Linked DNA regions of Arabidopsis thaliana. The main gene of each other region encodes a partner of the protein of the gene in region 2 in a complex. Each region holds a gene or a part of one and is shown on either strand. Other genes may lie near its edges. The genes, in order: AT3G48210 and AT3G54630.

Region 1 (5,056 bases), 2.4 Mb from region 2:
CCTTTCCCTGACGGTGGAACGAAACCACCAAATTTAAAATGAGTTTGCACAACATCTCAAGGATATATCATGTACATGAACATCTTCTCCCAAGACAAAGATGATGCACATGTAGAGCATAAGTTACGTGTATGGAGGCTAAAGAGCCGGGAATGGGAAATAGTATCTGAAATATCTCTAGCTTGTAGTGAGACTGGTTTTGATTACATTCCGCTGGCAATAAACCCTTTTGATGCTAATACAATGTACATGTGGTGCAAGATGCATTCATGTTTGGGGTCTACTAATTTGCGTAAAGACAAGTTCGGGCTTCACAACAGCTTGGAATGTTGCAAAGATTATCAAACTCTGAGTTTTGCTGGGGATTGTAACATGTTGGAAGACCTTTATCACTTATACTTTTCCATGTTCGTTCTCCCGCGTTGGCTACACCAAATCCCTTCTTCGCCTTCATGAGCGAGGTGAAGAGTCGTTTCAAGAGGAACAACGAGTTGGAGAATGGTGTTTGATTTGTTTTCTTGTCTAATTTAAGATAGAAAATATGGTTGTGGCTATATTTTTAGTTTTAAAATTGCATAAACTGTACATCTCTAATGCACAATCTATGGCTCAAGTATCCATCATTATCTCTAATGCGCAATCTTAATGAAGCTAGACAAGCATCCATTAGCTAACGAAATCTAGAAATAGAGAAGCGCGAGATTACATCGATTAAAATCTAGTCCCACAAGCTCCATCATCGATTGGTGTATAAGCATAGCATCCACACTAGTAAAGAAATCAACATTGTCAATAAGCGTGATTACAATGACATTCTAATATTTATAGGAATTTCAAACAACAATCTGTTGTTGTCGAAAGTTCCGCAGCATCATCTACGCTTAAGTTTATTCCTTGATGCTTGTGAAAAGGAAAACAGAGCTCCACCTTCATTTCTTACCCTGTAACAAGTTAGAGTTGCTATATAAGTTGTATGTTAAATACTATAGGCTCCATGTGATCAGTTAAGTATTATTAATCAGATAGAACATTATTATGTCCAGTTGTTATGCAAATAGGTTCTGGTATCCTACTTTTGGAAACTATAGTATCTAACAAATATTTTGAATTTGGTTTGGTGTTGTAACATTTAAGAACACAATGAGTATCCAGTACCTTAAAGCGAGAAGAACGGCGAGTGGCAGATGTGGATACAGGAGCTAGGAGTGGTGATTCGCTACCTCTTTTTTGTCGCCGATTCACTTGAACCTTAGATCTTTTGTTTTCTGGAGTTGACATGTTTGTATCAGTGGAAAATGATATAGCTGGAGCTGAAGCAGATATGGCAGACGTTTCCTGTTGCAGTTGTCCTGAATGTGTTGGCAGCTCTGACAAAATCCAATAAAACACAAGTCTTGGTCATATTCAACTTTTATATATATCGAAAATAAGATTTCTCACTTATGGAGATAGAGGTTATAAAAGGATAGGCTTGAGACAATTTACCAGATAAAGTGGATTTCAGAAACTGCTCCCTCATCAGACGAACAAATCTGAAAAGGTCATTGGTTTTATTCAATTCTTGAACCATCTCGTTGATGTAATCCAATTGCAGATCGCTATCCAATACTGATGATCATATAAGTAAACGACTGTAAACAGTTCATATTACTAGGTTTTTTTGTAAACATTATAATGTAGTTGATGCTTGCTTCAAGAAGACATATATATACTCACGTGTGTAGATGTCATTTCCATAGTGAACTGTGAACGAAAATTCGCGGGTCGGCCTTTTTGCATCAATGTTGGTGAATGTGAATTTAACTCCTGTAAGAGAAGTTAAAACAACAAAGCTCTTTTAGGGCTAAGGTTTAGTAATATAGAACTAAGATTGTTACAAACTCAAAATGTCTCTATTACCATGTCCAGCTTCAACGTGAAAACCGAGAGCATGATTATACCAAGAGATTGCTTCATGAATATCTGCTTTGTCTTCGGTGACTTTACCAGCGTTGTCCTTCGATTTTGACAAGGCTTTATTGGAAGAAATATGTTAGCTTGGTCTTCAGTGATTCATGTGATCTCTTATTGAAACAAGCAGAGTACTTTTTATAGATATCTTCACTTTACAAAATCCCAAAGCATGTAGCTGACTCATGAAACTTGTATGTATAATGAACTTCAGAATTATATAACGATACCTTGCAACTGTTGGGAGATAATTCTCACAGAATCATCCTTCTTTGACTTCTGTAGCTGCAAATTTCTTCTAAGTACTTCAATCCTAGATTGTGTTGCAGAAATGGAATCTCTTATCCCCATTTGCCGTGCCTCTTTACGGGTTTTCACTAAACATCAAACATATAACATCCCAAAGACAGTAAGATATCCAAACTCAGCAAAACAATGTATGTAAGCATGAAAATAACACCAAGGAGAATCTTATGATTTAAGAAACTAAGTTCAAAGTTTCAAGCTTTTGAGGTAATAATACCTGCCAACACTTTAACTAGCTCATCCTCTGCTTCTCTCAGATCCGCTTTCAAATTCATTAGTTCCACTGTAAAATCAAAGAAACATTTCACAGAACCGCTCAATTTTACCAGTCTGATGTCGAAATTTTAAAACCCTAATTTCAGAGAGACAGAGCCTAAACCGTAAAAAAGTGTGAAATTTACGATCTGGGTCATACGGAACTGAGTGGTACTATGCGAATTTTGAATTTTACCTTGGCTTTGAGCAGTGGCTTGAGCTCGCTCCACTAAAGAGTTCATCGATCTCCGGAAAGGAGAAGCGATGAAAGAATCGATTTTAAGACGCTGTTCATGAATATCTTTCTCACAGATGAGACCCAGAGACGCCATAGTCTCTTTCGTTGTGTCTCCACCAGCGATGTTGCTAATTTGTTCCATCACCAAAGAGAGAAAGAGAGAGACTGAATCGAAGTTTAGCCCGCCATTTGAATTTTGATTCGAGTTTCGAAAATATGCTTCAAAACGCGAACCATCGTGATGAGAACTTTAAAACGATGGCGTTTTCATATCGTGCTACGTCCAAATTTATTGGGCTCCTTAAAAGGCTATTCTGAGACAGGCCCATTTGTCTGGTTTCTCGTTTACCGAAAGTAGTTCAGTCATCGGCAAACGTTTGATTTAATACGCGTTTGGCATCAATCACTATTTTGATTTATAACATTTTTAATCGCTCTAAATCAAAACCCTTACTTACAATATAGTTACAATAATATTATTTTTATCATACCAATTTTTCGGAAAATAGTAATATTGAATAGTGTGTGAAAGGTTGAAAATTGAACCGTTAGGATTTTAATTAGTTAGCCGAAGGAGCTGACAAAACCGAATACTACGGTTACACTTTAGAGAGTCAAAGACTCTTTTAATGCATTAACTACGTTTTCTGCATTGCATCATTGCATGTCTTCTCTTCCTTCAAGCAACTAGTCTTTTAATTAACACTAAATACATATTGAACATAACAATTCCTTCGTCTAGTTTCAATATGTATTTTCAGTTTTTTCACGTCCCTAGCTCACTTTAGACCTGCAAAGTGTTTTTTTTTTTAAAATAATAAATTAGAGTATTTTCACTATATATCAGTAGAAATGGGTGCGTATGTTTTTGATAATTAATTCAATAAAACCTGTAATGAGTAGATAAGACAATGAGTTTACTGTGTAAGTAAGCAAAAGGGACAAAAATGTGTTTTGTACATTATTTTGTTCTGTGTTTGTACATTAATTTGTTCTGTTTAGAATTTTTATAGATATTGGACCATGCAGAGGGTGTTAACTTGTTATAGCATTAACCATGTGCTAGATATATAGCATCGGAGCTTAAACGAATTATCAGTGTTAGATAGTTTGCTTGATTACTTCAACTTGAAGTAATCTGGCTGGCTTTATAATTAAGCTATTATCTTATAATTAGGCTATTATCTTTAATTTAATTGAAACTAATACTTTTGAGGAAAACTAATCGGATGAAATATTTCGAAAGAACTTTTTACATTGCAACGCACCCGTCCTGAGAATTAATGCGTTGTTGTCGAAGGAGAAAGGGCCATAAAATATGGATGAAGTAAATCGATCGAAGAAAGTCTTTATAAGGATCAAAATAAGGTTCAAATCCAATATGAATGAATGTTGACCCTAATTTTGGCCTCGGAAATCTTTATGATCATAGGAAAAAATCATTGTACACATCAAAATTTCTTATGAAAAGTAAACTGAGTTTTTGTTCATTACTCTTAATTATTGTAATTCTTTCCTTCCACAACAATAACTTATGAAAAGTAAACTGAGGATATGAGGATCTATCCTATGAGGTTTTCCATTCCTACAGCCTCCATCCTGCAATGTCGCGATAAATATAAATTATTAGTCAACACAAATTAAAAGGTATACTTGATCAATATACGTAAATATATACGAGGTTACGAATTATTACGGAGGAGCTGGAAAGCCACATTTTTCGTGAAGACATTTACGGAGACAAGGGGTCTCAGGGACAGTGATGCGGCCACCACATTGGTCGATGCACATTTGCTTGCATGTTGTTCTTATTATAATTGCTTCTCCTCCTCGTATGGATGCCATCACCACCATCATCATTATCATCATGATCATACTACATTTCTTCATCTCCATTTTTTTTTAGTTTCTTTCCTTTAATTTTTTCCCTGTAAGTGTATGTTTACGTATACATGTCTTTTTTGTCATAGGTGTGTGTGTAGTATATATAAAACTAATGTCCAGAAAAGTTAAAATCATTAATTTAAAGTTTGACTAGACTATAATTAAAAATATTAAAATTTTCTTTATTACTTTTGCAAGTTTGTTTTTGTCAACATTTTTCTTTATTACTTATAATGGTTCTAATTAGATTTCTTTTGATATATATAATTACTTTCAAGTTTCATATAATATTTATATTGAAGGTTAGAAAGAAGAAAAAAAGTCAGTTGCCAGAGTACACATATATAAATGTACATGCATGAGATTATGCTAGAAGAGAAACAAATCTAACTGGACAATTGAAGTTCAATAGCGTAGCCTGGC
Region 2 (4,566 bases):
CCGTTCCTCAAGAATTGGACTTTTAAAACTTATCGTTAGTTCTGGTGGGAAATTTGGATTTGAAAGAATCACAAAACCATGTGTTGTTATTGCTTATGAATTCTTCTTATCAGATTGAGTTAGCATTGAGTTTGATTAGGTTTGCAATCTTGGTCTTACTGATACGATTGGATTTTGTAATTTACAGTTCATTTGCAATTTGTTTAACTTTTATGTGTGAAGGTAGCATTCATACCATATATCACAGCTGGTGATCCGGATCTCTCTACTACTGCTGAAGCATTGAAAGTTCTTGATGCTTGTGGTTCTGACATAATCGAATTGGGTGTTCCTTACTCTGACCCTTTAGCTGATGGACCTGTTATTCAGGTTTAAACCAACTATCAAAATGCAACCTTTATATATGCTTCCCTTGCCTTTTTTTTGTTTGATCATCTTGCTCTTTGTTATCTATTCAACTAGGCTGCGGCAACAAGGTCGTTGGAGAGGGGAACAAACCTCGATAGCATCCTTGAGATGTTGGATAAGGTGAGTTTAGTTTCTGAAGGAAAGATGTGTGTTTGTGTCCCCTGTCAGATATCGTTCCTATATGTGTGTTCTTATTGTTGGACTTGGTGCAGGTTGTTCCACAAATATCTTGTCCGATTTCGTTGTTCACGTATTACAACCCGATTCTTAAACGTGGGTTGGGGAAGTTCATGTCCAGCATCAGAGCTGTTGGTGTACAGGGACTTGTGGTTCCCGATGTTCCTCTTGAGGAAACTGAGATGCTGAGAAAAGAAGCCCTCAACAACGACATTGAGCTGGTAAGCATATAATCTGAAGGACGCATATATCTTGGTAGCATGATTCTCAGTCATGCCAGTGCAGTATAGATTCATTTGTGTATCTTATTTATTTTCTTCGTCTCCTCGAATTTGGTTTTTCTTAGCTGAACCTACGTATCATTTGTCTCTGTGGAGATTTATTTGCCAGCCTTATCAATAGAAACAGTAGAAGCATTGTTTAGTGTAGACACTGAGACTACAGTACTATACATGTGTTTTGCTGGATCTGCCTCGATCTATTTTGACATTCGGCTTTCAGTATCTTTGCCTTTTAGTAAACATAATTTTGCTCAATGTTTGTAATCAAGGTCCTACTCACTACACCAACCACACCAACAGAGCGAATGAAGCTAATTGTTGATGCGTCAGAAGGATTTATTTACCTTGTAAGATCCCTCTCAGTGTATATTTCTCTTTGCAGATGTCACATGTGTTTACTTAATTTGAGAATGTATTGGCCCTTTTTTTGGGTTTAACAGGTGAGCTCAATTGGAGTGACTGGTGCACGATCATCTGTAAGCGGAAAGGTTCAGTCGCTCTTGAAGGATATCAAAGAGGTCTAATAACAGTTTTTTTTTTAAAGATTGTTTCTCAAATATCTTGAAATGATGTAGAAATGCTCAAGTTGTTTAGTCATTTGTAATTCAATGCAGGCGACAGACAAGCCGGTGGCAGTCGGTTTTGGAATATCAAAGCCGGAGCATGTGAAACAGGTCCTAAACCTTACAAAGCTTCTCTTATGTTGTCTTCATAGTTACTTCTTTGCTGACTAGTTTTGTTGTGTCAACAGATAGCTGGATGGGGAGCTGATGGAGTGATCGTAGGCAGTGCAATGGTAAAGCTATTGGGTGATGCAAAGTCGCCAACTGAAGGACTTAAGGAGCTTGAGAAACTAACCAAGTCTCTTAAATCTGCTCTTCTTTGAAACACAAACATTTGCAGACAACATCTTTAGATTGTGTTTTTGATTATTATCGGTGTGTGACAATGATGTCTCAATCTTTTGATACATTTCAAGTATGATTAATAAGTTACTGTGACTCAAGCCACACAACCAGTTGCTCGGTTTACACAGAATAATAAAAACGTTATGACTCAAATTGTTTTCCAATTTGGTTCGATAAATTTGCGACCCGGTTTGATATTATGGTTCGATTAAACCAGAACAAAACAACCCTATATATAATTTCTTTTGAAATGAATGAGAAATAAAAAAACAAAGAAATTCGAAGAGGTTTTTTTAGGTTTTCGAAAATTCAAATTACAAAAGTAATCCATCCCGCTGCTCTATAGAAATATATTTCCCGATCCAGTTCCAGTGTCAGTTGCTTTATCTGTAAAAAGCAAAAAAGAGATGAGAGGCGGAGCCGCGGGAAAGAGAAGAACGACGGTGGGTTTCGGCGGAGCGCCGCCGCCACCTCCACCATCAATCGAGCAACAACGTCACCTCTTTAACTCAAGAGACTCCGACGCCAGTTTCGCCAGCAGCCGTCCTTCATCAATCGGTTTAGGCGGCCGAGGAGCCTCCGATGACAGATCTTCGATGATTCGATTCATTAACGCCTTCCTCTCCACACATAACTTCCCGATCTCTATCCGCGGTAATCCTGTTCCTTCTGTCAAAGACATCTCCGAAACCCTAAAATTCTTGCTCTCAGCTTTAGATTACCCTTGCGATTCCATCAAATGGGACGAGGATCTCGTCTTCTTTCTCAAATCGCAGAAATGTCCTTTTAAGATCACCAAATCTAGCCTCAAAGCTCCAAATACGCCTCACAATTGGCCTACTGTTCTCGCCGTTGTTCACTGGTTAGCTGAGCTTGCTCGTTTCCATCAACATCTAGTATCTAATTCCACCTCCGTACCCGAAGATAACTCCATGAATTTCTTCGCGATTCAAAGCTTTGGTCACTTCATTCGCGGCGAGGATGATAAGGTTAACGATTTAGATTCTCAATTTTTGGGTAAATTGGAAGCGGAGAAGACTAGCGTCGCTGAAACTATCTCTGGTTGTGAGAAAATCTCCGGTGAATTGGAGGCTAAACTTGAGTCACTGAGGAAAGGTCCTTCGAAGAAAGAGTCTCTGGAGAAAGTTAAAGCCGATTTGGAGAATGACGTAAACAAGTTCCGAACTATTGTTGTGGAGTATACTGATAGGAATCCAGCGATGGAGAAAGTTGTGGAGGAGAAAGCTAAGGAGCTCAAAGCTAAGGAAGAAGAGAGAGAGCGAATCTCTGTAGAGAATAAGGAGTTGAAGAAGAGTGTGGAGCTTCAGAACTTTAGCGCGGCGGATGTAAATAGGATGAGAAGAGAGTTACAAGCTGTGGAAAGAGATGTTGCGGATGCTGAGGTTGCTAGAGATGGTTGGGATCAGAAAGCTTGGGAACTCAATTCACAGATTAGGAATCAGTTTCATCAGATTCAGACACTTGCCATTGACTGCAACCAAGCTCTCAGGAGATTGAAGCTTGATATTCAGTTCGCTGTTAACGAGAGAGGGGAAACACCTGCAGCGGTGATGGGTGTGGATTATAAATCGGTGGTGAAGCCAGCTCTGTGTTCGTTGTGCGATGGGATCAAAGGAAGCTCGGCGGAGAAAGTGGAGGAATTGGTCACTTTACAGCACCATAAGTCTGAAATGGCTTCGAAGATCGAATCCAAAAGGAGTCTTCTTGGGTCAATTCAGTTGCAGATCAATGACCTCGAAGAAAAGATGAAGTTGGTGAAGAAGGAAACTCAGGAGTTGAGTACAAAATGTGATTTGGAGGCGAAAACATTGGTTGAGAGTGTGAAAGCTGAGGCTTTGAATCTGGAGGTTGTGGAGAAAGAAGCTGCTGAGTTTGTAAAAGCTTCGGAGCTTAGATTGCAAGAAGCAGTGAAGGAGAGTGAAGAGGAGGTCCAAGCATGTGCTGCACAACTCTTTGCACTTATCGATTCGATATCGAAACAGAAAGAGTACATGGATTCGAAGATATCGGAGATCAAAACCGGTGTTGCTGATACTGCCAGTGCTGTTTCAGAGATATACAAAGCCAACTTCAAGAAGAACCTTGGTATCTAGTGGTTGGAATCAACTGAGCCAAGAGATTGTTAAAAGCGTGAGTAATTCCTATTGCTTTTGTTCACATAGTCGTATTAGCATCTATGTGTGGTATGTATGAGTTTTCAGGATGGATAATTGAAATTGCTCAGCTATGCTAGTAGTATATAAATATCTGTGTTTCTTTTTTCATTGAAACTTAGATGATAGGCACATAATCTAATATTCACAATGTTTAACTCAAAGAACGCTGTTATGATCAAGTTACATAGGATTTCCAATGAATACACTCTTACCTTCTTTTTACCATAAGCTGACTTAGGTGACTTTGATTCTTATTCGGTTTATCCCCTCGGGTCTCTTGAAGTCAGGCTATGTTTGCAGCTCCTCGGTTGTAACCTCTTTGGGTTACCACTTTCTTCAGTCTCACTGAGTTCCTCCTTTACTTGTTTAAAGCTTGCTTACTCATGCATCATATGTGGTGAGAATATCTTACTGATGATATGAATAAGAGAGAGTAGCTATCAAATCAAGAAAATGAGAGGAAGGAGTTAAAAAAGACAAAGGAAACCTAAGCTGCTTATCTATAAAGCCAACACATTATTCTTACCCTTTTGCCCACAAAGTAAATGACACACATCAACTAAAGTAGAAATTTAAAATGCCTTTGAATGCCTTAATTTGCATTTTTATTAAATT

The links.
Region 1: AT3G54630 (region 2) and AT3G48210 share a complex: the UniProt entries of both Arabidopsis thaliana proteins name them as parts of the NDC80 complex.

Annotation. Positions count from the first base shown.
Region 1 is NC_003074.8:17,847,270-17,852,325, reverse strand, and holds AT3G48210 (kinetochore protein), read right to left. Parts: upstream 2,976-5,056; 5' UTR 2,892-2,975; coding exon 2,708-2,891; intron 2,540-2,707; coding exon 2,474-2,539; intron 2,328-2,473; coding exon 2,181-2,327; intron 2,014-2,180; coding exon 1,900-2,013; intron 1,807-1,899; coding exon 1,717-1,806; intron 1,609-1,716; coding exon 1,486-1,608; intron 1,368-1,485; coding exon 1,156-1,367; intron 942-1,155; coding exon 930-941; 3' UTR 541-929; downstream 1-540. Other genes in the region: AT3G48220 (F-box protein), read left to right, coding at 1-42; AT3G48209 (Plant thionin family protein), read right to left, coding at 4,442-4,645. UniProt on the Arabidopsis thaliana protein: Acts as a component of the essential kinetochore-associated NDC80 complex, which is required for chromosome segregation and spindle checkpoint activity to ensure proper cell division.
Region 2 is NC_003074.8:20,220,517-20,225,082, reverse strand, and holds AT3G54630 (kinetochore protein), read left to right. Parts: upstream 1-2,054; 5' UTR 2,055-2,181; coding exon 2,182-3,888; 3' UTR 3,889-3,986; downstream 3,987-4,566. Other genes in the region: TSA1 (tryptophan synthase alpha chain), read left to right, coding at 223-369, 463-528, 621-806, 1,136-1,213, 1,307-1,384, 1,481-1,540, 1,618-1,752. UniProt on the Arabidopsis thaliana protein: Acts as a component of the essential kinetochore-associated NDC80 complex, which is required for chromosome segregation and spindle checkpoint activity to ensure proper cell division.